Linked DNA regions of Drosophila melanogaster. The protein of the gene in region 1 binds, or shares a complex with, the protein of each later gene. Each region holds a gene or a part of one and is shown in the gene's direction. Other genes may lie near its edges. The genes, in order: Gem4c and rig.

Region 1 (7,410 bases):
TTTGAGGCATTCAATGAGGCTCTGTCGGTCATTAATTCAGATTGCGTGGAAACACTACCGCTGCTCTCTGCCGCCCTCAGAGCAGCCGGTCGCGCAATTGTCAACTGCAATTTGCCCGCAGAAAATAAGCAACTGCTGCGCCAGATAGCCTGCATGGAACATCGTCATATCTTGGACTCTAAACAGCGCCTCCATACGCTGCCGCGTCCATCCACTCGAAAGATTTACCTGGCCAAGGCTATGGATCACCTTATAGAAGTCCTTTTGTATACCCTCAATGATCCATTAAAGCGGGAGAAACCAAATTGCTTCGCCGTCTACAGCCAAATAACCGAGGACATCAGTGACAGCAACTCAAGCGATCCCATGCCTGATCTGCGGCATTTCGCCCAAATACTGCTAGACGTTCTGCAGCGTATCTTTCAGCTCGTTAGCGTAGACACGTATATGTATTGGCATGAAATGAAATCGAAAAGTGCTTTGTATAACTGCCAGGAGCTAATCTGTAGACAGACGGCAGAATTGCTTAAAGTACTCCAATCAGATAAGTTGCTCGGAGAGCATCCGGTTTGCAAGCAGATGCAGAGCTTTGCGGATGCAGCAAAAACATTGGAGCAGCGCGTTGCCGAGATGAGAATGGGTGAACTCTTAGTCTTTCTCGATTCCGGTATGGCCACCGATGAGGAGTTGCTCGCCGGGCTGGACAATCTCTTTAGCCGCTTCATAGCCTTTGGTAACGATGAGTGCGTGGAAACGATGGCAAATCATTTAATTATGCTCACCAAGAAACATGCCCAGATAATACTCAGTTTCCTGGGTCAGGTGGTGGAGTCCGAAATGGTGGTCGAGGACGAGGGCATATCCGTTACGGAAGTAAATCAGGGGGATGACGAGGACGAGACCTCGTCCAACGATGATTACGAAGAGCTGCTAAGCCTAGTACTGCGTCCCTTATTTATGCAATTAAATGTCGAGGACAAGATGGAAGTACTGCTATTGCGCGATGAGCAAAACGTTACCCAAGGATTTAATTTCAAGGCTCCCGATCATCGGGAGCGTCGCATACGCTTCTTTAATCAATTGGATTATAATAAGCGCTTCCCGATAACCAAATTTCTAGTACTGTGCTTTGAGAACGCAAGACAGACCTGGATTGATTTCTCCCACTTGGGCGTGACGCATACTCGCTTCTCGAAGCTATTCTGGCACATAGCTCAGTCTTGTCCCAAGCATGCTGCTTTTCATATTTCCGCCTGTGCCGATAACATCTTGGTGAACGAGCAACTACTTCAAAAGCCGTATGCCTTGCAGTTTACACTCTACCTATATGGCCACCGACAGATCCTCAACGGTCTCTACACGTCAGCGCGACAACTGTGCGTTAGTTTGAAAGACGGACGGTGTCCCTACGGAGAGGATGAGCTTAGGCAGGCGCAAAATAGGTTCCTAGACGCGTGTGCCTACGGTTTGGCCAAGTTTATAGAGCCCATGAACTTGCCCAGCTTGCAGTTAATCTTGAAACTGCTCAAGCAGATTAGTCTGGGTGAAAGCAATCTAATCACCCGAGGCACTGCAGAGTTAAATGCACTCGAAAAGGAGCACCCGAAATTGGAGAACGGAGACGATGCACCAGCTGTCAAGGTGGCCAAGCACTACACATATCTGAATGCCAGCTTGCCAGAGTGGCGTTTGAAACACTGGAAGCTGATCTCGCATGTCATGAAAACCATTGATGCCCTACGCTGGGACTTGGCCACCTTTGAAGATTTCCGGGTGGATAATTTAGAACTGGCGGTGTGGTATTGGCAGGACGGTCTGTCTCATCTGACATTCCTAGGCACTGGTGCGCTCTTATAAATGTAAGTCCAAGACGAAAGCCTACTAATTATTGCTCTTTCACAGAATGCCGCCAGAGGATCTTGAACCAAGTGAACAGTTTAAAGCACAAGGGCTTTTGGCTCATCTACCTTAAAGAAGACACCTTAAAGGACACACGCTCCTTTCTCAAATTGCTAACTCAGTCCAGTGCACAGGAGGCTAACGATCTCTTCAACAAGCTCCTTAAAAAAAGGGCCGATTGTGCTGTTATGGGCGATCTTAGCGATGCAGTGGTCAAGGTGAACAGCGAGTCCGCTTTCATGGCCTTTAGATTCCTATTTCGAGAATATTTGATCGCCTTCCGGAGCCACGCCAAACACAATAAGACCATCACGAAGCGCCAGCATTGGGATCATTTGATGGCCGTTGTGGCCAAGGCTCCATTCTCCATTCGCAACGAGATTATGAAGCTAGCTAGTAAAGCCTTCGCTGTGCGATTCGGCATAAATATCCAGGAACAGCAGGCGGCCAAGTGTTAAGGAGATGCTGTTAGAAGTGTAATTTTCTTAAGCCAAATCGAAATTCCGCCGCTTGTCCAACACTTTAATTCTTAGGCAGTCAGATCTCTATATGACTAAAAACATATATAATATTCATAACGCTAGGATTGAACATCAGAATAATTTGATATCAGATTATTTTACAACTTTGTATGTCCTTTAAAAGGGCGACTGTATGCACATAACAAATGTACCACTACCATGCAAATTTTTTGTCTTACTAAAAATACTTTGGCAAGCAAGTGAAGTTATTCAGCTGAAAATTAATAAAATTTTGCATGTTCTTTTTTTTTCGTATTATTATGTATTATATATATAATATACAAAACGCTATGATTGAACATCAGAATAATTTGATATCAGGTTATTTTACAACTTTGTGTGTCCTTAAGGCCGACTATATTTACATAAAATATGTAATACTACCATCAAATACAAATTTGTGTTCTATTAAATAAATGCTTTGGCAAGCTTAAAATTATTGTAATTTTGCATGTTCTTATTTTTATTCGTATTTTTATGTATTACTTCGACTGCTTTGCTTCCTGTTGCAAAATTGTAACTTAAAACTAGGAAAATTTATTTTAATACATTTTTAAATTTCATGTACTCGTTATGTTATAAATTTAACTAATTTATATTCTGTCAAAAGCTGAATGGCATTATTCAGGGAAAGGAAAATTTTGGTGCAAATTGTTATTAATAACATTTTCAAATTACCTAAATAAAAAAAAAAATAGAAAAAATATCTTGTCTTAAAAAACACTATATATATTTTACAAGGTAATTTAACGACCAATGCTTGACAAGTATCGAAAAGATTTCAAACTCAAATGCCGCATGCGAATCGCATTATTTTAAATACATTTGCTAAATAGGACCACTGTTTAAAAAACTGCAGTTGACTTTGGAGAAGTCGCAATATTTATAATGTCAATTATTAATTATCGAATAAAACATTACAATAATAATACAAATAATTAATTATCGAATAATACATTACAATACTTTATAAAATATCTTCATTTAATTTTCAGCTGAGCAAAATACAAAATATCATATGAAAATGTTTATAAATAAAGTTAAAGTTAAATCATAGCAAGCAGTGGACAAGTCATATTAGTATCTATCTACATCAGAGAGTCTATTACAAAGCGAAATTTTTTGTTGTAGGGACATTTTCATTTTCAAAAAATATTCCTTGCACGCAAGATAATCGGTACGCACCGGTAAACTATCGATTTTCGATAGTCATCTGACAGAAGACGCACATAAAATTGAATTCCTTCGGAAGAGTTTTGACGAAACGCGAAATTTCGGCAGCACGATGATAACTGCTGAGAAGCACCCGCTGGACAATTGCCAGTTGTTTGTCCAGCTGAAGAAAATATTCCATGACAACAACGAACAGGCCAAGTGTCTGAAAGATATGATTTACTGGAGTGGTAAGTGAAGTACCAGAGGTTAGTGCCCAAATATGAACATTGTTTGTTCTCAGGAAACGATGAGCACATTGAGAAGATCTGCGACCAAGTGACGGACCTGCTGGAGGAGCACGATCTAATCATACAGCCGCCAGACACAATGGATCCTTTTGCTATGAATCAACTGCGTGGACTACTGGTGTACCTGGTGCTGAACACCGCACACGACTATTTCTTGTGCAAATCGCAGTGGAGCGCCAATGTCATGCATTTGTGTAACCAGCTTCCGCCTATCCCACTGTTCTTGACCATCGCAATAGCCGTTAACTGCTGTCTCATGGAGCCGCTGGAGGAATTCCTTGCTTGTGGACCCCGCTGGCTGACCATCCAGTATTTTGAGGCATTCAATGAGGCTCTGTCGGTCATTAATTCAGATTGCGTGGAAACACTACCGCTGCTCTCTGCCGCCCTCAGAGCAGCCGGTCGCGCAATTGTCAACTGCAATTTGCCCGCAGAAAATAAGCAACTGCTGCGCCAGATAGCCTGCATGGAACATCGTCATATCTTGGACTCTAAACAGCGCCTCCATACGCTGCCGCGTCCATCCACTCGAAAGATTTACCTGGCCAAGGCTATGGATCACCTTATAGAAGTCCTTTTGTATACCCTCAATGATCCATTAAAGCGGGAGAAACCAAATTGCTTCGCCGTCTACAGCCAAATAACCGAGGACATCAGTGACAGCAACTCAAGCGATCCCATGCCTGATCTGCGGCATTTCGCCCAAATACTGCTAGACGTTCTGCGGCGTATCTTTCAGCTCGTTAGCGTAGACACGTATATGTATTGGCATGAAATGAAATCGAAAAGTGCTTTGTATAACTGCCAGGAGCTAATCTGTAGACAGACGGCAGAATTGCTTAAAGTACTCCAATCAGATAATATGCTCGGAGAGCATCCGGTTTGCAAGCAGATGCAGAGCTTTGCGGATGCAGCAAAAACATTGGAGCAGCGCGTTGCCGAGATGAGAATGGGTGAACTCTTAGTCTTTCTCGATTCCGGTATGGCCACCGATGAGGAGTTGCTCGCCGGGCTGGACAATCTCTTTAGCCGCTTCATAGCCTTTGGTAACGATGAGTGCGTGGAAACGATGGCAAATCATTTAATTATGCTCACCAAGAAACATGCCCAGATAATACTCAGTTTCCTGGGTCAGGTGGTGGAGTCCGAAATGGTGGTCGAGGACGAGGGCATATCCGTTACGGAAGTAAATCAGGGGGATGACGAGGACGAGACCTCGTCCAACGATGATTACGAAGAGCTGCTAAGCCTAGTACTGCGTCCCTTATTTATGCAATTAAATGTCGAGGACAAGATGGAAGTACTGCTATTGCGCGATGAGCAAAACGTTACCCAAGGATTTAATTTCAAGGCTCCCGATCATCGGGAGCGTCGCATACGCTTCTTTAATCAATTGGATTATAATAAGCGCTTCCCGATAACCAAATTTCTAGTACTGTGCTTTGAGAACGCAAGACAGACCTGGATTGATTTCTCCCACTTGGGCGTGACGCATACTCGCTTCTCGAAGCTATTCTGGCACATAGCTCAGTCTTGTCCCAAGCATGCTGCTTTTCATATTTCCGCCTGTGCCGATAACATCTTGGTGAACGAGCAACTACTTCAAAAGCCGTATGCCTTGCAGTTTACACTCTACCTATATGGCCACCGACAGATCCTCAACGGTCTCTACACGTCAGCGCGACAACTGTGCGTTAGTTTGAAAGACGGACGGTGTCCCTACGGAGAGGATGAGCTTAGGCAGGCGCAAAATAGGTTCCTAGACGCGTGTGCCTACGGTTTGGCCAAGTTTATAGAGCCCATGAACTTGCCCAGCTTGCAGTTAATCTTGAAACTGCTCAAGCAGATTAGTCTGGGTGAAAGCAATCTAATCACCCGAGGCACTGCAGAGTTAAATGCACTCGAAAAGGAGCACCCGAAATTGGAGAACGGAGACGATGCACCAGCTGTCAAGGTGGCCAAGCACTACACATATCTGAATGCCAGCTTGCCAGAGTGGCGTTTGAAACACTGGAAGCTGATCTCGCATGTCATGAAAACCATTGATGCCCTACGCTGGGACTTGGCCACCTTTGAAGATTTCCGGGTGGATAATTTAGAACTGGCGGTGTGGTATTGGCAGGACGGTCTGTCTCATCTGACATTCCTAGGCACTGGTGCGCTCTTATAAATGTAAGTCCAAGACGAAAGCCTACTAATTATTGCTCTTTCACAGAATGCCGCCAGAGGATCTTGAACCAAGTGAACAGTTTAAAGCACAAGGGCTTTTGGCTCATCTACCTTAAAGAAGACACCTTAAAGGACACACGCTCCTTTCTCAAATTGCTAACTCAGTCCAGTGCACAGGAGGCTAACGATCTCTTCAAAAAGCTCCTTAAAAAAAGGGCCGATTGTGCTGTTATGGGCGATCTTAGCGATGCAGTGGTCAAGGTGAACAGCGAGTCCGCTTTCATGGCCTTTAGATTCCTATTTCGAGAATATTTGATCGCCTTCCGGAGCCACGCCAAACACAATAAGACCATCACGAAGCGCCAGCATTGGGATCATTTGATGGCCGTTGTGGCCAAGGCTCCATTCTCCATTCGCAACGAGATTATGAAGCTAGCTAGTAAAGCCTTCGCTGTGCGATTCGGCATAAATATCCAGGAACAGCAGGCGGCCAAGTGTTAAGGAGATGCTGTTAGAAGTGTAATTTTCTTAAGCCAAATCGAAACTCCGCCGCTTGTCCAACACTTTAATTCTTAGGCAGTCAGATCTCTATATGACTAAAAACATATATAATATTCATAACGCTAGGATTGAACATCAGAATAATTTGATATCAGATTATTTTACAACTTTGTATGTCCTTTAAAAGGACGACTGTATGCACATAACAAATGTACCACTACCATGCAAATTTTTTGTCTTACTAAAAATACTTTGGCAAGCAAGTGAAGTTATTCAGCTGAAAATTAATAAAATTTTGCATGTTCTTTTTTTTCGTATTATTATGTATTATATATATAATATACAAAACGCTATGATTGAACATCAGAATAATTTGATATCAGGTTATTTTACAACTTTGTGTGTCCTTAAGGCCGACTATATTTACATAAAATATGTAATACTACCATCAAATACAAATTTGTGTTCTATTAAATAAATGCTTTGGCAAGCTTAAAATTATTGTAATTTTGCATGTTCTTATTTTTATTCGTATTTTTATGTATTACTTCGACTGCTTTGCTTCCTGTTGCAAAATTGTAACTTAAAACTAGGAAAATTTATTTTAATACATTTTTAAATTTCATGTACTCGTTATGTTATAAATTTAACTAATTTATATTCTGTCAAAAGCTGAATGGCATTATTCAGGGAAAGGAAAATTTTGGTGCAAATTGTTATTAATAACATTTTCAAATTACCTAAATAAAAAAAAATAGAAAAAATATCTTGTCTTAAAAAACACTATATATATTTTACAAGGTAATTTAACGACCAATGCTTGACAAGTATCGAAAAGTCGCTAAACTAAAAATATC
Region 2 (17,846 bases), on another chromosome or scaffold:
GCGACCTGTGCGCCGTGTGGCAGGAGAAGCCCCTGGCCCTGACCAGCGCCAATCGCTCCAGTGCGCCCAGCAGTCTGCAGGTGTCCGAGTTCCGTTCCCTATGGCCCCAATTGGGCGCCGTCTTCGATGCCGGTCGAATCGGTCTGACCGAGGAGCGACGACTGGCCTCCACGGTCATTGACCTGGCCACTCCTGGCTACTATGAAATAGTGCGCGCCGGCGTGGCTCTCAAGCCGACACTCAGCCTCATGGAGGAGTTCGGCATTCGGGAGCTAAAAATGATGTAGTATAAGAGCTATTCCTTTGGCTTTAACTTTAATTTTTACTTTGGAACATCCTACTTTGCTTTGCATGCGGGAACACAACAAATTGTTTATAAAATATACGGTTCAGTATGTACACAATTGGAACTATCTTGGGCGCAGGCTCTCCGCCAGTTGGTCAGTCTAGTTGTAGTAGTTGCTGGAGTTCTTGGAGGCCTGTATGGGTCTCCGTCGCCGCGGCAGTTCGTTCTCCAGTATTCGCCAGCGTTCCGGTGGCCACACGATGGCCACTGCCCGCGCGGACATCAGGCCCAGGGCGACGGGTCCAAAGGTATTGCTGTCCATGGAGTGGCCTGTGTGATCGCCCTCCACCCAACAATGTCCTTCGGGTACGCGAACGATCTCGTGCTTGTAGCCCAGCGTGGACACGACGTCGCCCTGCAGCCCCACCACGCGCTTGATAATCTTCTGGGCGGGATCCTTGGGTGAAATGAGCGATATTATGTCGCCGCGCTCCACCTGACTGTTGTGGGTGCCCCAGCGCAGCAGGAACACATAGTCCTTTTCATCCGGCACGGGATTGAGAGCGGGCTGCATGGAGATGCCTGCAAAAAGTTGTGGATTAATTAGCGCACACTAACATGGAGCGAATAAACTCCGGACGACTCACCATCCACCCTGGCCACATAACCAACGCAGTCCAGGAAAGTGACGCCAAGTGGCAGAGCGTACAGCAAGGACTTGCCAAAGAACCGAAATGCCATGGATGAACTGGTTGGAGAGCGGAGCTATCGAGATGAATACATAACCACCAGCCTTTTGCCGAGTTCCTTGTGCGCTCCGGATCTTATGACATTCGCAGCGCAGCGCCGACACGGGTTTTGTTTATGCTAAATACAGGGTGCTTCAATAAAGGCGATGCAGAGGTTCTTGAGCAGATTACGTTTATTGAGGAAGGATATTTGCCAGCTATTGTACTTTAGTTACAGGTGTTTTTTTCCGTTTTGGGTTTATTGTAATTTTGACAGAAACAGGAATGTGACTGGGCAATCGTTCAGCAGCCCTCCAGCTCGCTGGGAATGGGTATCTCGTTCTGGATGGCGAACTGCAGCAGCGCCTTGTACTTGTTCTTCCAGTTGGACACCTCGCGGCGCACCTGCTCGTTGTCCTCGTGCATCTGCTCCAGTTCCGTCCACTCGTACGACTTCTTAGTCTCCAGCTCGTCCTTCTGTTCGATTCTCTTGATGCGGCAACTGGCTGCGTATCCGCGATTCTTTAAGGTTCTCCGGCGCTGCTTCATCCGAACGATCTCCTCGCGGTTCAGGCCACGCATCTTGAGGGTCCGATTAAGATCCCTTACCGAAATGCTCACCAAATCGTCATCGGTAATATCCGGAATTGGACATGGCGAAAGTGGTGCCTGAAAATCGCACTTCTATCAGGGTTTTCTTTCTTCTTCGCATATATCTACAAGGTACGTACCAGGGATGACTTTCTCTCGCGCTTTGCTTCCATTGTGGCCGATTGTATTTTATTTTTACGGAGACTTTTAGAATTTGCTAGATTTTTCTACCTTTTTTTTTTGCGTTGTTATTGTGTGTCTTCTTCTTCCTCTCTACCTGCTGGTTGCCATTCACAGGAAATGGATTGCATAGAGTTGGCAGATAGACAAAAAACGTCTGTGGTAAATAGCGGGTAATTTAAATATACTAAAGCTAACGTGATCCCTAGATTTTAGGCTTTGTAGCATAAGGTACTTAGTTATATTTTTAAATTATTTATATAAAGCAGATCCAGATTTTTGTTATAAATACAAGTTCGAAAATAACAAATTTATATTTTAATTATTATCAATTTTAATTAACTGTTAAGTTCCGTGCCTTCCAGGTGGCATCGCTGGCAAAGTTTAAGAAGCTGCCTAACACTAACAGCTTTACAGAAGTTTTTTCCCCGAACGACGCCAACTGTTAGCGGGAAATATTCCTTCATCCTGCAGATGCCAAGTCCTTATTGTTCGCCATGAACTCGCAGGTGATGTACCACAATGTGCCCACACCGCCGGGCAACGTATCTTTGGCGGCCGCTGCTCCCGACGGCGGTTTGCTGTACGCCGGCATTCGCTGCATCAACTACATATCCGCGCCGCCGGCAAACGGAGAGCAGCCCCAAGTGGTGACCATGTCGACGCGGATCAACATACTGGCCCTGGACGTTAGTCCCATGTGGGGCTTGGGCAACGGTGGGCCGACCAAGCCATTCGCCATTGTGGGCGACGATCTAAGCGTTCAGGTGTGGGACTGCGCATTGGGCGAAGCCGTCATCGGGCACAAGGCCCATCAGCACCAGCACGAGGCGCGGGATGTGCGCGTCGTGCACCACACTACCAACTCCGTGCTGATGAGCTACCTGGCCAATGGTAACATTCTATCCATGGACGCCAGTGATCTGGTCATCTATTGTGTGGCATCCAACACCTACTGCCGTCGCTCCACTTTCATCTCGCCCCGAAATCACCAACTCACTATGGTGCGCTGCTCGCCCTACAATGACAATTTGTTCGCTGTGGGAACGGCTATGGGTAATGTGCTGGTCTGCGATCTGCGCAAAATGAACATCGTCTACAAGTTCCACGGCCACAAAGCGCCCATATGCGGCTTAGCCTGGCGGGAGGTGCCTGCTGCCGAGGACGAAAAAACCAATAATCTGGCGTTAAGTGCTGAAGAGTGGCGAAGCCGCAATGGCGGCCAGGAGGAGAAACCCAAGACAAAGCCACCACCACTGACCAAATCGAAGGCAGCCGAATCCGACGACCCTTTCGACATATACAACTTTGATCATCTTGAGTACGAGTTCGGTGCACCTATAGCTGAACGCCGCCGCAAATCTTCAGAGGATTGTGGCGGCGAATTTGTGGGTCTAGAGAAGCCAGCTGGTGCCGCTGTCTTAGATTTCGTTGAGGCCTGCGAGAGTGTGAAAGCCGAACTCTTAGCCAGTCGCCAGGAGGATAAAACGCAGCACGTGGAGGTCACGCTGCATGACTGCGAGCCCACAAAGCCTACGGGTCCCTTAAGTGATGCCAGCACCATTAGCAACAAGAACGATGCCAGCGACTCGACCGAGGGCAGTCTGGAGGTCATCCAGTACAGCTCGTCCAGTGATGATGCCGTGATCGTCGATGGCGAGGCAGCAAAGCCCAAAAGAGAAGTATTGCATCACATCTACCACCAGGCCGAGGTACATGCTTCAGGAACACCGCAGACCAAGTCTGAGCCTCAGAGTAATCTCCAAGTTGTGCCGGCCATCAGCGCGGAGACCATCAGCTTGACATCCGTGAACAGCACCCACTTGGAAACTCTGCTCGTGTCCATTGACGGCGATGAGGTGATGATGATCTGGAATACCAATACGGGAGCGCATGCTGGCAAGAACTACAGCAAAAGCAAGACGGCGGGTAAGTGGAAAGAATCAAACCATTGAAAGCAAGCATTCAACTGGGATCTTTTCTTCAGGCAAGCTTAACAACGTCTACTGGCTGAACAACCATGTCATTGTTTCCCTGAGTCGCCATCAGTTATTCTTTTGGTCCGTGGAGTTCGAGCGCAAGATGCTACGCTACAAGATCAGCAAGGATAAATCACACAGCTGCCATTTGCAAGACATCGTGTCCTTTGCCTGTGACTCCAGCAAAGAGATGATATGGTTGTGCAGAAACAATCGCCAGATTGGAATGATGAATCCTAAAACTGGCCGGATGGCTGACTTTTACGGAACAGTGGCGTTTGGAGTGCGAGCGATGGCCGAGTGTCCAGATGATATGAACAAGTAAGCTAATAAGATAATATGCCATTCGCAAACGTTGCTAAACTGTTTTTCGTTTAGAATCGCTTTGGGTTGTTCGGATCGCCGTGTGGCCTTCTTCGATATATCGAAGCTCACCACCAGCTGCCTGCCCATCGACAGCGTTTATGTGTCCAGCAACGTCTACTGCCTGGCTTGGAGTCCAAACTGCTTGGAACTGGCCTTTGGCACCTTCGACGGAACGGTATGGCTTTGATTTCGTCTATTTTATTGGATATTGAACCTAAATATACAACTCAACAACAGGTGGGCATCCTGGATGTGGAGCGCATGAAAGTAAAGACACACTTACGGACGCCGCACAAAAAAGAAGTCTACTCGCTTGTGTGGCAGGACCACTTTATATACTTTATTGTGAATCGTGTTCTAGGTTTCTTTGATTTAAGAAAATCGAAAATCGGTGAGTATATGTTCTTAGCCGTTCTCTACTTATGTTGCCGACAGTTGTAGGTTTGATTCTGTGCGTTGCGCCTTCCGTAACTAATGTTGGTCTGCGCGTCGTTGGTCTGCTTCTTACGTATATTGGCCAAGTGGATTGTCTCCCGATGATAATCCCACGCATTCCATGTTACGTTTATCCAGTTTGCTGGCGTTAGGTCGTTGGTGACGACCATTTCGGTTTGACACTCAAAATCTGTCTGCTTTGGTGGCTCAACTACCAGATTCTGCAGTTCCTGCTCTATTAGCGCATCGTCCAATTTGAACAGCAGAGCCAGGTTCGCATTGTTGAAAACCACTTTTCTAAAGGCGGCTATGAAAGGCTCAAATCGCAGCTCCGCGAATCGAGCGTATCTTGGGTCCCGGAAACCAAATGTAATGTCCACATTGGAGCACAGCTTTCTGGTCACCTGGGCCGGCATAAGCAGGCCGTTGGTAATGGTCATGGCTAGAGAGCAAAACTCCTTTATATCTGCCTTGTTGAGCTTGCAAAAGTTGCCATCGGTCTGCAACTCCTTCACGGCATCCATGCGTTCCTCAAAGCTGCAGACCTTGGGCTTCTTTATCCGCTTATGAAGCGCCTGCAGCTCGGCAATCGTAGCCTTTGTCAGGGTCATCAAGTCGTCGACGACCAATGCCTCCACCTGCTCCCTCAGCTTGTTTAACTCAACAATGTGGTTCAGGTAGTTGTTCAGATTGCCCCACACCTGAGAGAGGTACACAAAGTGCGGCTGAAAGCGGGAAACGAAATTGGAGAAATTCTCATCTTTTAAATGAATACATCACTTACAAATATAAGCTCCGAATCAATAGCCGTGCGCATGGATAGGGTATCATCAATCTTGCAGATCACGCATTGATATCGCTTATGCTCCACTTCAATTAGGTACACTGTCTTCTGGTAATGTTCGTTCAGAGTCGTCAGACAGCGATGGAGCATAAAGTAGGTCGCCGCAAACTGGTTAAGCCGATCCAAATGTTCGAGGGGCACGCGGTAGGTCAAGGTCTCGTCCTTATGATCTATGTTTATGAGGTCATCCAGTGCCGCCTGGCAAGTGGACTGCATCTTGACCGCCCTTCCCATACTGGCTGCAAATGCGGCTTCCGTGTTCTTCTGGGCCATTTCCAGATCATCGACCACTAAGAAGTATACAGCAGATATGAAATATGAAATGGTTTGCCCTATATGCACATACCGCTTCTAACATTCTCCCGATCTCCATCGGGGCCATCGTTGTTATAGATCACAATGCCGCCCACGGTCGCCGACAAGCGTTGAAGATACTCTAGCCGATGGTACTTCTTCTTCAGGACATAATTCTGTAGGTCACTTCGACCGATGACGCTGTTGAGAGCCTGGGCAGTCAGCTTAAGCAGAACATGATTCTTGGGCGAGCCCAGACTGTAGCAGGCCACTATGAAGACCTGCATCTTTGCGAAGAGCTGGTCCAACTGCACTTTACTGCAAGTCTCGGGATACTGAAGGATATCCTTGATTAGCAGCTGCAGTTCGGTTTGGAACTTTTCCTCGTACTTCTTCTTGACGTATTCAAGGTCTATGGTTACTCCCTTTTTCATTACCCAAGCCATCTTCATGTTGGCCATAGTGCAATCTTTCGAATTGACATAGCTATCCACAATTGTATTCACGAAACCCTCAATGGCACAGGCGGTTGGCTTATTGAGGTCGTACTTCAGGAGACCTTTGCGCCGATCTCTTGCCAGCAAATGAACCATGTAGATGACAAACTCCTTGTCGACCCTGAGATCCAACTGTTTGAAGCGCTTCATAATACGATGACCAATGCTCACTAGAGTTTTGTGTCGCGGCATTTTGGTAAACAGAACAATTTAACCTATTTCGATGAAAGGAAATGTGTAATGTGGTTTGCTTGCTAAGTTTTTGATACGTGTGATATTTGTTGCCCTTGGCTACAGTTTAATCGATTTCATTTTCTTCAAGTAGCACAAATTACTCATGCCATCGAGCTTTTGTTATTCGAGACTTTTAGGCTTGTTTTAATTAATTGTTTCCCACAAATCATTAAAATGATCGCACAATTAGGTGCGGACCTAAAAGACAACAATGGACTTAAAACAAAGAGTTTTTCGTCATTCTGACTAGATTTAATTGTGTTTTAAGTTAATGGATGTATGTATTACTTAAAGGTAAAGCTAGTCAAAGATACATATAAAGTTAATTTAAAATATGCCATTATTATTTTCTTACAGAGCCCACAATTGTGAACTGCATTTCTCGACCCAGTTACCTCAGCATCCGCGATTCTTTCCTTTTTGTTGGCACCGATGATGGACTGCTGCAGATCCATGAGCGCGATTCGGGAATGGAGAAGTCGTGGTCTCCATTTATCCGCCAATCCGCTTTGTTTGCTCGTTATGTGACCGATATCGCCTGGTGCCCGCTGGACAGCAATAAGTTTGCAGTGTCGGGCAACGATAGGTCCGTGTACGTGATGGAGTTTCAGCCCACGGAGCGCAATTGGAAAACGCTTCACACATTTACGGCAAACACAGAGAAGGCGTCGATTACCTCGATGAGATGGAGTCATACCCAGAAGCACTTGCTGCTCACCTTTCATATCGAGGGAAAGGTGTGCCTGTGGAACTGCAATGCGCCAGAGAAGCCACCGCTAACCATCACCTACCACTGCCCCATGTGGTGTGGAATGTTTTTGCCCACCAACGAGAACATCATTATGTGCTCGGGAAAAGCTCTCTCCGTGGAGCTAATTGACATTAAGGACGCGCTGGAAGGCGATGAGAAAAGCATCTGTCCCAAGGTGGATGCTCTGTTAAATGTTAAGTGGGCTAGCAAATCCCTGACCCAGCCATACGCTCCAGTTCTCACAGCGGCTGAAAAGAAACGGCAGCGCCGGGATCAACGCAAAGCAGCGGCTAAGCTCGAAGTTGACGTAGCTAACAAGGATCAAAAGAAAATTCAGGAGTCAGTTACTGCAGTTATTGATAATCCAACCAACGATAAATGTACGCAAGAAACTCCTGTTGAAGAGATGTTGGAAGCGCTTAGCTTGGACAAGGAGCAAAATAATAGAAGTGCCAAAGAATGCCCAAAGTGTAAAGAGCAGTCACCTGACAGTTTCACAGTAAGTTATCCATGTGCTCTTGATTCGACTGAAACCCAATAACATATTTACCAACAGCATAGCCGCACCTGTCTTTACCTTACCCAGAAGGAGCTCAACAAAAGTGCCCTTGAGAAGCTGGCCATTGTTCTTACAGAAGACTCTGCCAAGATCGACAAGTCGGTGCTCATATCGAAGCTGTTCAGCTCAAAAGTGATGGCCAAGGAGCTCATTGCAACCGAGTGTAATTTCACTAACTGACTTATAGTATTTAAAATGCTAACGATAAATGTAATATTTCAGTGACCAATCTGAAGCACTCAAACACCAAAGACATAGCTCCACTTTGCCTGGCCATGTCCACGTTCAAATTACGCGAGGAGCTGGAGCAGCATATAGCCAACAAGACGCTTACCGAACGCCATGTTTCGCTGGCTCCCTCCGTTTCTTTTACGTAAGTTTCTACGTTTTTGTTGTAAATCGGTTTTGTCTTTAGTCTATATTTCTTGCAGACTTTGGCAGGACTGCTGTCGCGCTTATGCCAAGCAGATGGAGGAAAAAGGCTACATCATGCACGCAGCTACGTATCTTTTTAGTCAAGGAATGCAATCGGAAGCCATCAAACTGTTCCTGGCCAATGAATACTATAAGGAGGCCCTTGTACATGCGCGTATTTGCTTGCCAGCAACGGATCCCCTGATCAAGACCGTAATTAACAATTGGCTCGAGCATCTGGAGGGGACGGGTAACTTTGCAGCAGCAGCTCTGATGTAAGTGACTAAAACTAAACTATAGACAAATGTTTAAGCATCCTTTCTGAATCACTTAACAGCTGCGTTCTGGACAATGAGATGCTGCGTGGATACTCCTATCTAAGAAAATACCGCAACTGCACTCCGGAAATTGCCGATCTTATGGACCAAATCAAACGGATTGGCCAGCTGGGCGGCGTTCTAGATGGTTGTGCTCCCAATGAGCCGATCCACAATGGATCTACTGCCGAGCATTAAGCCTTAAATCAACATTTTTGTAAGCGTACTTTTAGCTGAAACTGGCTGTACTAGTGTAACTCATTTGAAATCCCCCGATACAATCATAAAGCTATTATCTATTAGTTAGGCATTTACAAATGTTTTCCATTAATTTGAATAGCCAGAAACTGTGTGGAATTGAAACCGATTTGAGTCGCCTTTGCTATACTTTTATTTTAATTTAATTTACCCTTAAGAAAAGATGAATACAAGATACATATATCAATGGCACAATAGCTAGTAAAACAAACACACACAAATTGAATTTCGAATAAACGAAAAAGCGAGAAAAAGAAACCGCAGCTCCAGTGGGCTTTAATTAGAACAAGCAGCTGTTCCGGCGGCCAGAAACCATCAGTTATCAGGCGTAAAAGCTGGCCCAAACAAAAGTATGACCGTTAGGCCCCATTTTCGTCTGGGCTTTGGCATCACATTATGCAAATGACCGGGTTCCCCAGCCCGCCGACAGCATCACTGCCGCCAGTTGGGAATTAAGTTTTAATTGTTGGAACAAGAGTCAGGGCGACTGAACTTGCTGCACAACAGCAGCAGCAGCGAAAACAAACGAAACCAACAGAAAAATGTAAATCAACAAAACGACACAGGCCAGAGCAAAACTCTAGAGCGCTAGAGCTGGCAAACAAAACTTCGGGCTGTTGTGCTCTTCAGTTGCCAAACAGCCGCCGTAGCCGACGCAGTGGTCGCAGAGTCGTTCGGCGAACCAAGTTCGTTTCCTCAGTCTTTCGAATTTCACTTTTAACCGTTTGCAAGCGCGCCAAGTTGAAGCGTACGCGTACCGTTAGCGCGGCACGTTACGAAGTGAGTGATCCACACACATATATCGACCATTCTCACGTCCGTCAACTCTGACTCTGACTTGACCTGGTGCTGGTGGCCAAACCGTTGTACAATTAAATAACAATCAAATTATAATTGCATGCAAGCACATTTCGCTTTTGCGATGAGACAAAAAACACGCAGGCAAACGAGTTCTCCGCTCTTTATTTAATTTGTGCGCGCAGTAAAAGTGCCAAGAACCACTAGGTGCTGCTGGTGGTGGTGGCGCTGATTTTTGTTGTGTGTGGCTTTACGTGCCCCATTAAAGTCGTCGTCGGTCGGGCGACGCAATTTGCATGAGCGACAGCTTCGAATCTTTTCAACAATTTGTACTACGCTGAGTGACTCAACGCTAAACAATTTGGTGGAACGCGTGTGTGAGTGCGTCGCTGAGAAAACATTTCTTGCTTGACTGATAATTTCTACGAGCCGCGCTTATTGTTCATTTAGTTTTTGGTATTTCTCGTGCCTGTTGTAACTGCTTGGGATGGATGGCTGGCTGGATGGATCGCTTGCAATAACAATCATAATGCGAAGTGAAAGGTACATTTTACATCGCATCGATATCCATATCCATATCCATATTATATACACATAATAGATGACTGCATTTTGAAACGCACTGGCGCAGCATAGCGGCAACGCATTGGATTGGCCTTTTCATTTTGATTTCGATTCCATTTCGATTTAGCTGCGACTTCATAATAACAATTTGCATAACTTTACCGCTGCATTGTTGCTCATTCATGCATTCGCATCCACTGTTGTTCACATTGTTGCACTTATGCTATTGAACTCGCATAGTAAACAATAACGAAATGAAATGGAATTAATTTAATTGCCCGTGCAGACAATGCAAAATATTTTGAAATGTTGCTCGCATTTATACGCTCCCACCGGGTTCACCGAAATTATGCATGCTGGATCTGCATAATTTCGTAATCCTCGCCGCATGGGTGTGGCACTCAGTCAAGGGCGCTGCGAAATCGCTTGCCACCTTTTCCCGGCGCTGAGTGCTAATAAATGGTGGTCGAATGCCGCCGAAAAACCCGTTTTGAAAATAACTACAGCTCTGCCCCCGAAAAACCGGACAGCCCAGCCAAGAATGAGTGTGTCCAGCTAATTAGCAATAAAACAAACTTGGCTTGCAATTCTTTCCGGCCATTGAAGAAAGTCACAGTCACATCCACAGTAGCTCGGGAAAAAACAAAAAACCTGGTGATTGGTGTCTTGGCTTGCAACGTCGGCGGAATGTCAATGGGGCAAGTGGCCACCCCAACGCTTTAAGGTGCGCATATCCGGTGCGTCGCTCCTTTTTTGGGCCGCAAGACGAAGAGCACGCAGCCAAACCCATGGATACGCCCGCGATGACTATGATCCTCATCATCATCATCATCATCACAGTCGCAGACCATGATGAGCACGATGAGCTCGGCGCACCTGCGTGCTGACGACATTGAGCCGACAAGTTCGTCGCCTCTATTTTGATGACGATGTCTATTATGGGCGGATTACCACCGTATCCGAATAAGCGGATAACTGGGCTCCGCATCTCTGGGCGATGTGTTGGCGAGCCATCTCAATTGTTTACACTCCACAACACGATTTCGTGGGCCAGGCAATGGGATAATTGGTCTGGTTTTTTTTCACTACAAGTGCCCACGGAATCGGTTTTCTTAATGAGTTGAAATAAATCATTAGATTACCATCCATTTGTTAATTGCCTCACATTTCGCATCACGATTCATTTAATACATTTCACTTTTCATTTTTCTTTTGCTTGCTTAGTTGCTTAAAGTTATTACGAGATTTATTTACTAAATAAATTTTTGCAGCGCAGTGTAATTGATTAATAGGTTTGCTAATGCCGATCTAGCGAATTCATTTGTCATGACATAAGTTGACTTGTAACTGGCAATAGGTAAACAATTTCAGTCAGCAGTTAACCAGAAGGTTTAGGGTCAAATATTTGCTTCGACGAGCAAACAAAAGACTTGGACAACGAACTCGCAGTGTCGAAAAGTGAAAATCTTCTAAATTATATAGCACAGTCCGTTAGCTGAGTGGCTGAGAGTGTTTGTTTGCTGATGTCTTGGCCTGTATGCGCGTACATATGTGTAGCAGCCGAAACAAGTTCGTTGCCTAAGTCTTTTGTTCCGAACCGTATCGAACTGGACGACGCATCTCATCGCATTTCATCTCGGAATTCTCATTTCAGCACCAACCTAGCATGACACCGCTCAATTGGGCCGCTACTTAACGCTTTCATTCAACCCAGAAGAGGTCTGGACTCGAAACCCATTCGAACATAAACCAAGAACTAGAACACATCGCATCGCATCGTATCGCATCGCACCACTGGCCTCCTCCTTTGAAAAAGGGGAACCAAGGCCACCCTCCCGCTAGCCAGCATAATTTCTCTTGAAAAACCGCATTCACACATTTGCTTCACACCACAACCGCAACAACCGAATAACACGAATAATGAATTATCAGAAGGCCAGTGAAAAGCAGTCGTCGTCCTCATTGAAGAAGCGGCCGCCGGGCAACGGCAATAGCATACAAAACTTTTGGAACGATCGCATTATGGAGCGCTTCATAAAGGCGAATCTATTCATTATCTGCTGCGTGGTGGCGGTTCTATTGCTGGTAAGTATATCTCTAGGTGAGATATATATCTCCATATCGCCACCATCTCTCCAACCCACTATATCTTCGTCCGTCCGTCGGACTGTCCGTTACCGTTATCAGCGTGAAAACATTTCTGCTCCATTAAGTGAAAATGAAATGAAATCGTTTTTGCGCAAATGTAAAAATTTCATCTCTTTTTGTTGCTGTCCAAGTTGACAGCTGTGGAGGGAGGAGAGGTGCGAGGTAGCTCATTAATTGATTGATGGATGGTTGCGGAGCACAGTTGTCTCCGGCTTTTTATGTTTATGTTTTTCGTGCATCTATATCTCTGGCTGCCATCGACTGATTTATGTTTTCGCTTTTCTTCTGCGAATCTCGGCTAATTTCCATTTCACTTCTTCTTCTTCCCATTTGCGATCTCGCTGCCTCGCTACAGATCGTCTATCTGGGTGCCTTCTCGTGTGAGGTCTCGTGGATACTGGAGGCCCACGGCGAGCTGCCCTTCGCCGCCTACACGCTCTGCTCGCTCTACTTTGTCATGTTCGTGGCCACCACGATCCTTATCCACGGCCTGGTCAGCGGACTCTGCTGGCCGTTGTTCGCCTGGTCGGGCATCATCGGTCTCCTCTCAATTCCAGAGCTGGTCTTTGTCATGATCATGACCACACAGCACTGGGTAAGTTGAATTTATGACTTCTTGAAGTAAAATGAAGTAACTAATTTATAAATGCTAAAACTACAACTATTCTAAATACGACTAAAACATTAGGGTCTGCAATCTGTGCATGGATTAACGGAGCTCACCTCCTACCTGATTCGCCTCATCATCAACTGCTTCGCGCTGATCTGTGTGATTCCCACGGGCATCAGGTGGCGACGGGAGACTCAGGTGTTGAGTCAGCTGCAAGGATTGGCCACCAGACTTTCCCTGCAGACTCCAGCGCCCAGTGTGCCCATTACAAAGGCAGATTCCCGGCGATCCAGCCAGCGGCTAAGTGGATTCGAGAATGCCGGCTACCAGCTGTGCGATGAAACAGCTTCCAAGTTGCCACTAGGGCCAGGAATGGGACTGGGCATGAACAACCAGTGTGGAGGCAGTCAAGCATTTGGCTCGCAGAACGAATTCAACGCCAGCATGTTTGCACCCGCATTGGCACAGCAGTTCAACAATGCCACGTTGATGCAGCGCGGCGGAACAGGCGGAGCAGGTGGTGGTCATCGCGCCCAGTCGCTGATGGATCTGCGCTGCACTCTGCCCGGCATGTACAATCCACGACATGTGCTCGATACGGAGGATAAAAACGCCAAGTACTTCAACATCACCATCGACGATTTGAAGAACAATCTCCACGACTCGCACCGACCATCGCCGCCTTCGCTGATCGGTTCCACCAGCAACGATCCCATCTACTGCTCCATTGAGCCCAAGCAGTTGACACCGCCACCGGCACAGCAGAGGAGCCACCATCGTCCACGCGGCACACACAAGCAGCCACCACCGGGTAAACTGTCCCGGAATTGCGTATCCCTGGAGAACCTTGACGGGATCAGCAAGGTGCAGAATGATCTGACCGCCTACGGGAACAATCTACTCCAGAACTACACGCAGCAGCAGCAGTATTACCTGGCCATGCTGCTTCACCAGCAGCAGCAGCAACAGCTGCACCACCAGCAGGCTGGCGGCATTTACCGCAGGCCATCCAATTGCAGCTCCACTGGCGGATTCGCCGGCACCGTGCTGGCCCAGCCGATGCAGCGACGCGGCTCCACGCACAGCCAGCAGATGCAGTATTACGGGGGCTTTGGCTATGCCAACTACACCAATCCGTACATCACGGCCAACAGCAAGTTGTCGCTGGGCAACGAGTCCGACGATTACCGGAAGTACCGCGATGTGGCTCTTTGAGTCCGTTTTTTTGGTTCTGGAAACCGGATCCCAATCGATCATCAGTCAGCGTTTAGGTTAAGCTCACTAGTTGTAGGATATGCTCGATCTAGAATGAGATTCCTCGGAATAACGACCAAAGAGCCACAAACTAACTCAGTTTCAGTTCGTAGACTAACGTTACACTGCGAGAATCGTATAGCGCGTTTATGCGCCAGTCAATTTGTAGCTTAAATGGGTCTGCATTCAGTTTTATTTGCTTTACTGAATAACACGACCTATTTGCAAATAAAAGTGTACTAAATATGAGACTCCATGGGGATATAATTTTATATGCAAATAAAAGTAATCGTAATAGTAAATATCACGAAATATCAGACGTACTCAAAAATATAAATAGATATTTCTAAAACAAACAAATATCAAAAAGCATACCCCCCCAATAAGAGAGGCACTGTATGAAAATTGCCCAAGTCTAGTTCTAAGAATCGAACACAAATGAACATTGACATTCATTGTTTATTATAGTTAATAGGAATACGAATAACAATACTCTGATCGACAGTCTAACCATCCACAGATCAAAAAGTGTACATACTTGTAATAAAAGGCGTAACTGTTTTCTCACTTGAAATCAAGAAGATCGGCCAATGGATTATCACCGGAGTTTGATGGAATGGTAGCAGTGGGCGTGGTGGTTTTACTGGCAGGTGGTTTACTTGCTGTCCTGGCCGCGGGTTTGGTCTTTTTGGCAGCAGCTGCTTTGGACGTGGAGCTTCCTCCGAACAGGTCATCATCGTCGTCGTCGTCGCTAAAGAGACTTTTGCTTGGTTTCACTGGCAACTTCTTAGCAGGAGCACTCTTTACAGGCACTTCGGCTTCCTCATCATCGCTGCTGAAAAGAGAAGTCGCCGCTGGTTTGGGGGGCTGTTTAGCTTGGACGGGCTTGCTGGCGGTTTGGATACTAGGAGCTCTGGCAAACAGATCATCATCATCGTCGTCGCTATCATCAAACAGTTTCGGCGCAGCCTGTGACTTGGGTTTAGCAGCCTCCTTGGCATTCGATGGTTTCGGAGGAGCAGTTGTGACTTTTTGAAAAGCATTCATGATTTCTGCTGCAAATGCTTTTTGCGCGGTAGTAGTTGCATTTGTTTTTACAGAATCAAATAGGAAATCATCTTCATCTGGGCTGGCCAAAAATGAGTTTGCCATCTTTGGCGGCTTCTTTTCTACTGGAACTACATTGATACCCGCCTTGTTATTTTCAAGATCACTGAAAAGCTTATCATCTGCATCAGGGCTGTCCAAAAACGAGCGATATGACTTCGGCGGATCAGTACCCTGCTTTCCCTCAACTGTTTTTGTCGGGACGGAATTAAAAAAGGAATCATCCTCATCGGGGCTGTCCAGAAATGAGCCACCAGTGTTAGATGGCGGCGGTCTTTGGAGCTGCGGCTGAATTTGCTGGGCTGGGGTTGAAAACAGCTTTTCAGGTTTAACATACTGAGGAGAGGGTGCCTTAATGGAACTTCGCTCAGAGTGTTCAACTTCTGGGCTATCTCTAGTCGAAGCTGTTGGGCCTTCATTTTGCCCAGCATCCAATAAGCTTTTGGCATAGTTTTCCTTTCTTCCTCTTCTGGTAGATGGTCGCCTTTTGGCAGGTCCACGAGCGCGAGATTTGTTCACATGCTGCAGGACACCGTCTGCAGAAGAAACAGTGTTTTGTCCAGAACTTGGTGCCTCAGCCTCAGTCTGAACTGTCGCTTGAGGTTCATCTCTCTCGGAACTCGATGATTCTTGTTTCCTGATCAGCTTTGGCACGCTACCAGAACCCGGAAGAAGGGCATGTACATTGATGTTAATATTAGGCATTTTCAGCTTCTTAACGGGCGAAGTGGGTTTCTGCAATTCAGGCGTCTCCTTAACTTCACTACGATCAGTTTCATCAGCTGGCGGTGGCTCGTCATCGAAAGGGAAGCGTTTGGGCGCTGGCTGCACTGCTCCTGCCCTTGCAGTCTCACTGAAATCATCGTAGAAGATTGTGTGTATTCGGGTGGTTGACGCTAGTTCGTCCTTCTGAGGTTCAGCTTCCTTCTGCACTTCTTCGCCTGCATGATCGTTATCTTCGGGTGGCACATCACTAAACAAGCACATGGCACCGTAGTCAGACGACACAGAAGGTTGATCCCCCGGCGTCACTGGAGATGGCTTTGTCGCACTGGGAATGTTTGGCAGAGCGGGTTCGAAGAAGTCGTGCTCGTTGTCAAAGATTTTGGAGGCACTTAGGCTGCTGAGACCGCTGCTGCCAAGCGTTTGAAAGAATTCACTGTCATCCGGCGGTTCGTCGGAAAAGAGATTCGAGTAATTTTGCATGATTTGCTGCGCAGCAGCCAAATCCGCCGGCTTTCGCGGGGTAAGTGTATCCACTGATGTTTTATTGGTGACATCAGCCACCATTGATATAATGGGATCTACGTTGCTTTGATAATCGTCTGGTGGTGGAGTTTCCGAAACGGGTTCATCTATTTGAGGCTTACTTAACATTTCGGGCACCAGTTCATCCTTTTCAACGACAGCTGTTATTTCATATATTTTGTTCTCTGGCAGTTGCTGTGGCAATTCTTCTGCTTTAATCTCTTTCACCAGCTGCACCTCAGATGGTTTTTTAATATCTTCGTTTTCTGTACCAACTAATGGCTCATTCTTGGACATAGATGCACTCAAAAATGTATCATCATCGCTAAAATCTTCGTTAAACAAATCAGTTGGTTTGATAGATAGTTTTGTAGGAGGATTCACTGGGGATACATTTTCCTCAGTTTGCGAAGTATATTTTTCAATTGGTTTGTTAAATTCATTAGTTTCATTAGCACTTTTTGGCTCAGCCATATTATTTGAAGTACTAGAGAATAGCTCATCGTCGGTTAAGTCTTCACTGAACAAATCTTTAGATTTGGTAATATTTGCTGCTGATGTATCATCCTTAACCGCCTCCCATTCTTTATCATCAGACTTTTGTTCCGTAACTTCCATGGGAGGAGGTGAATCTCTGAGAATAGGCACAGATGCATTTTCTGCTATTACTTGATGCTGCTTTTCTCCAGTTTCTATATTCTTGGATTTCTGTTCTGCAATCTCACTTTGTTTCTTATCTTCTCCAACTGCTTCAGGATCATTATCTGGTTCACTTCTAATTAAGTTCTTAGCCTTTGGGGTTCCAAACAAATCCTCATCTTCAATATCATCAAAGAGACTTTTCTTTGAAGCTACAGGTGTTTCAACATTTTTGTTGGGCGAAACTCCCGAAGACGTCTCCTTTGGAATTACCTTTGCCTTTTTCGAACCAAACAAATCAGTGACATCATCTTGATCATCGTCTTCAAACAAACTTGTCTTTCCAGCTACTCTTTCAGATAGCTTTTTCGGTTGAGCAGATGGTTTCGTAAATATATCATCGATATCCAAATCATCATCATCAAATAAGGAGGGCTTTGGTTTTGAGAGCAGTTTTTGTTCTGGTGGCTTTGCTTTGGGCGTAAAGGAGCTCAAGAAGTCGTCGTCCTCCAAGTCATCATCGAATAGAGATTTGGTTACCGGTTTAGGTGGCTTTTTGGAAGGATTTTCCTTTGGCATGGCAGGAGAACTACCAAAAAGCGAGTTATCTTCATCATTATTGGCCACTACAACTGGACTCCGTTTTGGTATTGCACCCGTTGCTTTAGTATTATTAAAAACAGGCTCTGACCTCGGAGTTGGACTCAATGGAGGACTGTCGTCGAAGAGGTTTACACGTTTTGGA

Evidence for each region.
Region 2: Gem4c (region 1) and rig share a complex: the UniProt entries of both Drosophila melanogaster proteins name them as parts of the core survival motor neuron (SMN) complex.

The regions. Positions count from the first base shown.
Region 1 is NC_004354.4:3,941,551-3,948,960, forward strand, and holds Gem4c (gemin 4c), read left to right. Parts: upstream 1-3,492; 5' UTR 3,493-3,705; coding exon 3,706-3,823; intron 3,824-3,876; coding exon 3,877-6,039; intron 6,040-6,098; coding exon 6,099-6,553; 3' UTR 6,554-6,910; downstream 6,911-7,410. Other genes in the region: Gem4b (gemin 4b), read left to right, coding at 1-1,843, 1,903-2,357. UniProt on the Drosophila melanogaster protein: Component of the survival motor neuron (SMN) complex that catalyzes the assembly of small nuclear ribonucleoproteins (snRNPs), the building blocks of the spliceosome, and thereby plays an important role in the splicing of cellular pre-mRNAs.
Region 2 is NT_033778.4:20,625,018-20,642,863, reverse strand, and holds rig (rigor mortis), read left to right. Parts: upstream 1-2,182; 5' UTR 2,183-2,282; coding exon 2,283-3,714; intron 3,715-3,772; coding exon 3,773-4,085; intron 4,086-4,142; coding exon 4,143-4,305; intron 4,306-4,367; coding exon 4,368-4,521; exon of another isoform or gene 4,522-4,546; coding exon of another isoform or gene 4,547-5,290; intron 5,291-5,349; coding exon of another isoform or gene 5,350-5,699; intron 5,700-5,755; coding exon of another isoform or gene 5,756-6,392; exon of another isoform or gene 6,393-6,472; intron 6,473-6,791; coding exon 6,792-7,684; intron 7,685-7,741; coding exon 7,742-7,907; intron 7,908-7,966; coding exon 7,967-8,117; intron 8,118-8,175; coding exon 8,176-8,433; intron 8,434-8,495; coding exon 8,496-8,673; 3' UTR 8,674-8,988; downstream 8,989-17,846. Other genes in the region: Tcs1 (Threonyl-carbamoyl synthesis 1), read left to right, coding at 1-287; CG11110 (uncharacterized protein), read right to left, coding at 447-868, 934-1,027; maf-S, read right to left, coding at 1,318-1,698, 1,746-1,778; CG13436 (uncharacterized protein), read right to left, coding at 4,547-5,290, 5,350-5,699, 5,756-6,392; Rcd6 (reduction in Cnn dots 6), read left to right, coding at 12,016-12,180, 12,599-12,838, 12,932-14,068; FAM21 (family with sequence similarity 21), read right to left, coding at 14,672-17,846. UniProt on the Drosophila melanogaster protein: Component of the survival motor neuron (SMN) complex that catalyzes the assembly of small nuclear ribonucleoproteins (snRNPs), the building blocks of the spliceosome, and thereby plays an important role in the splicing of cellular pre-mRNAs.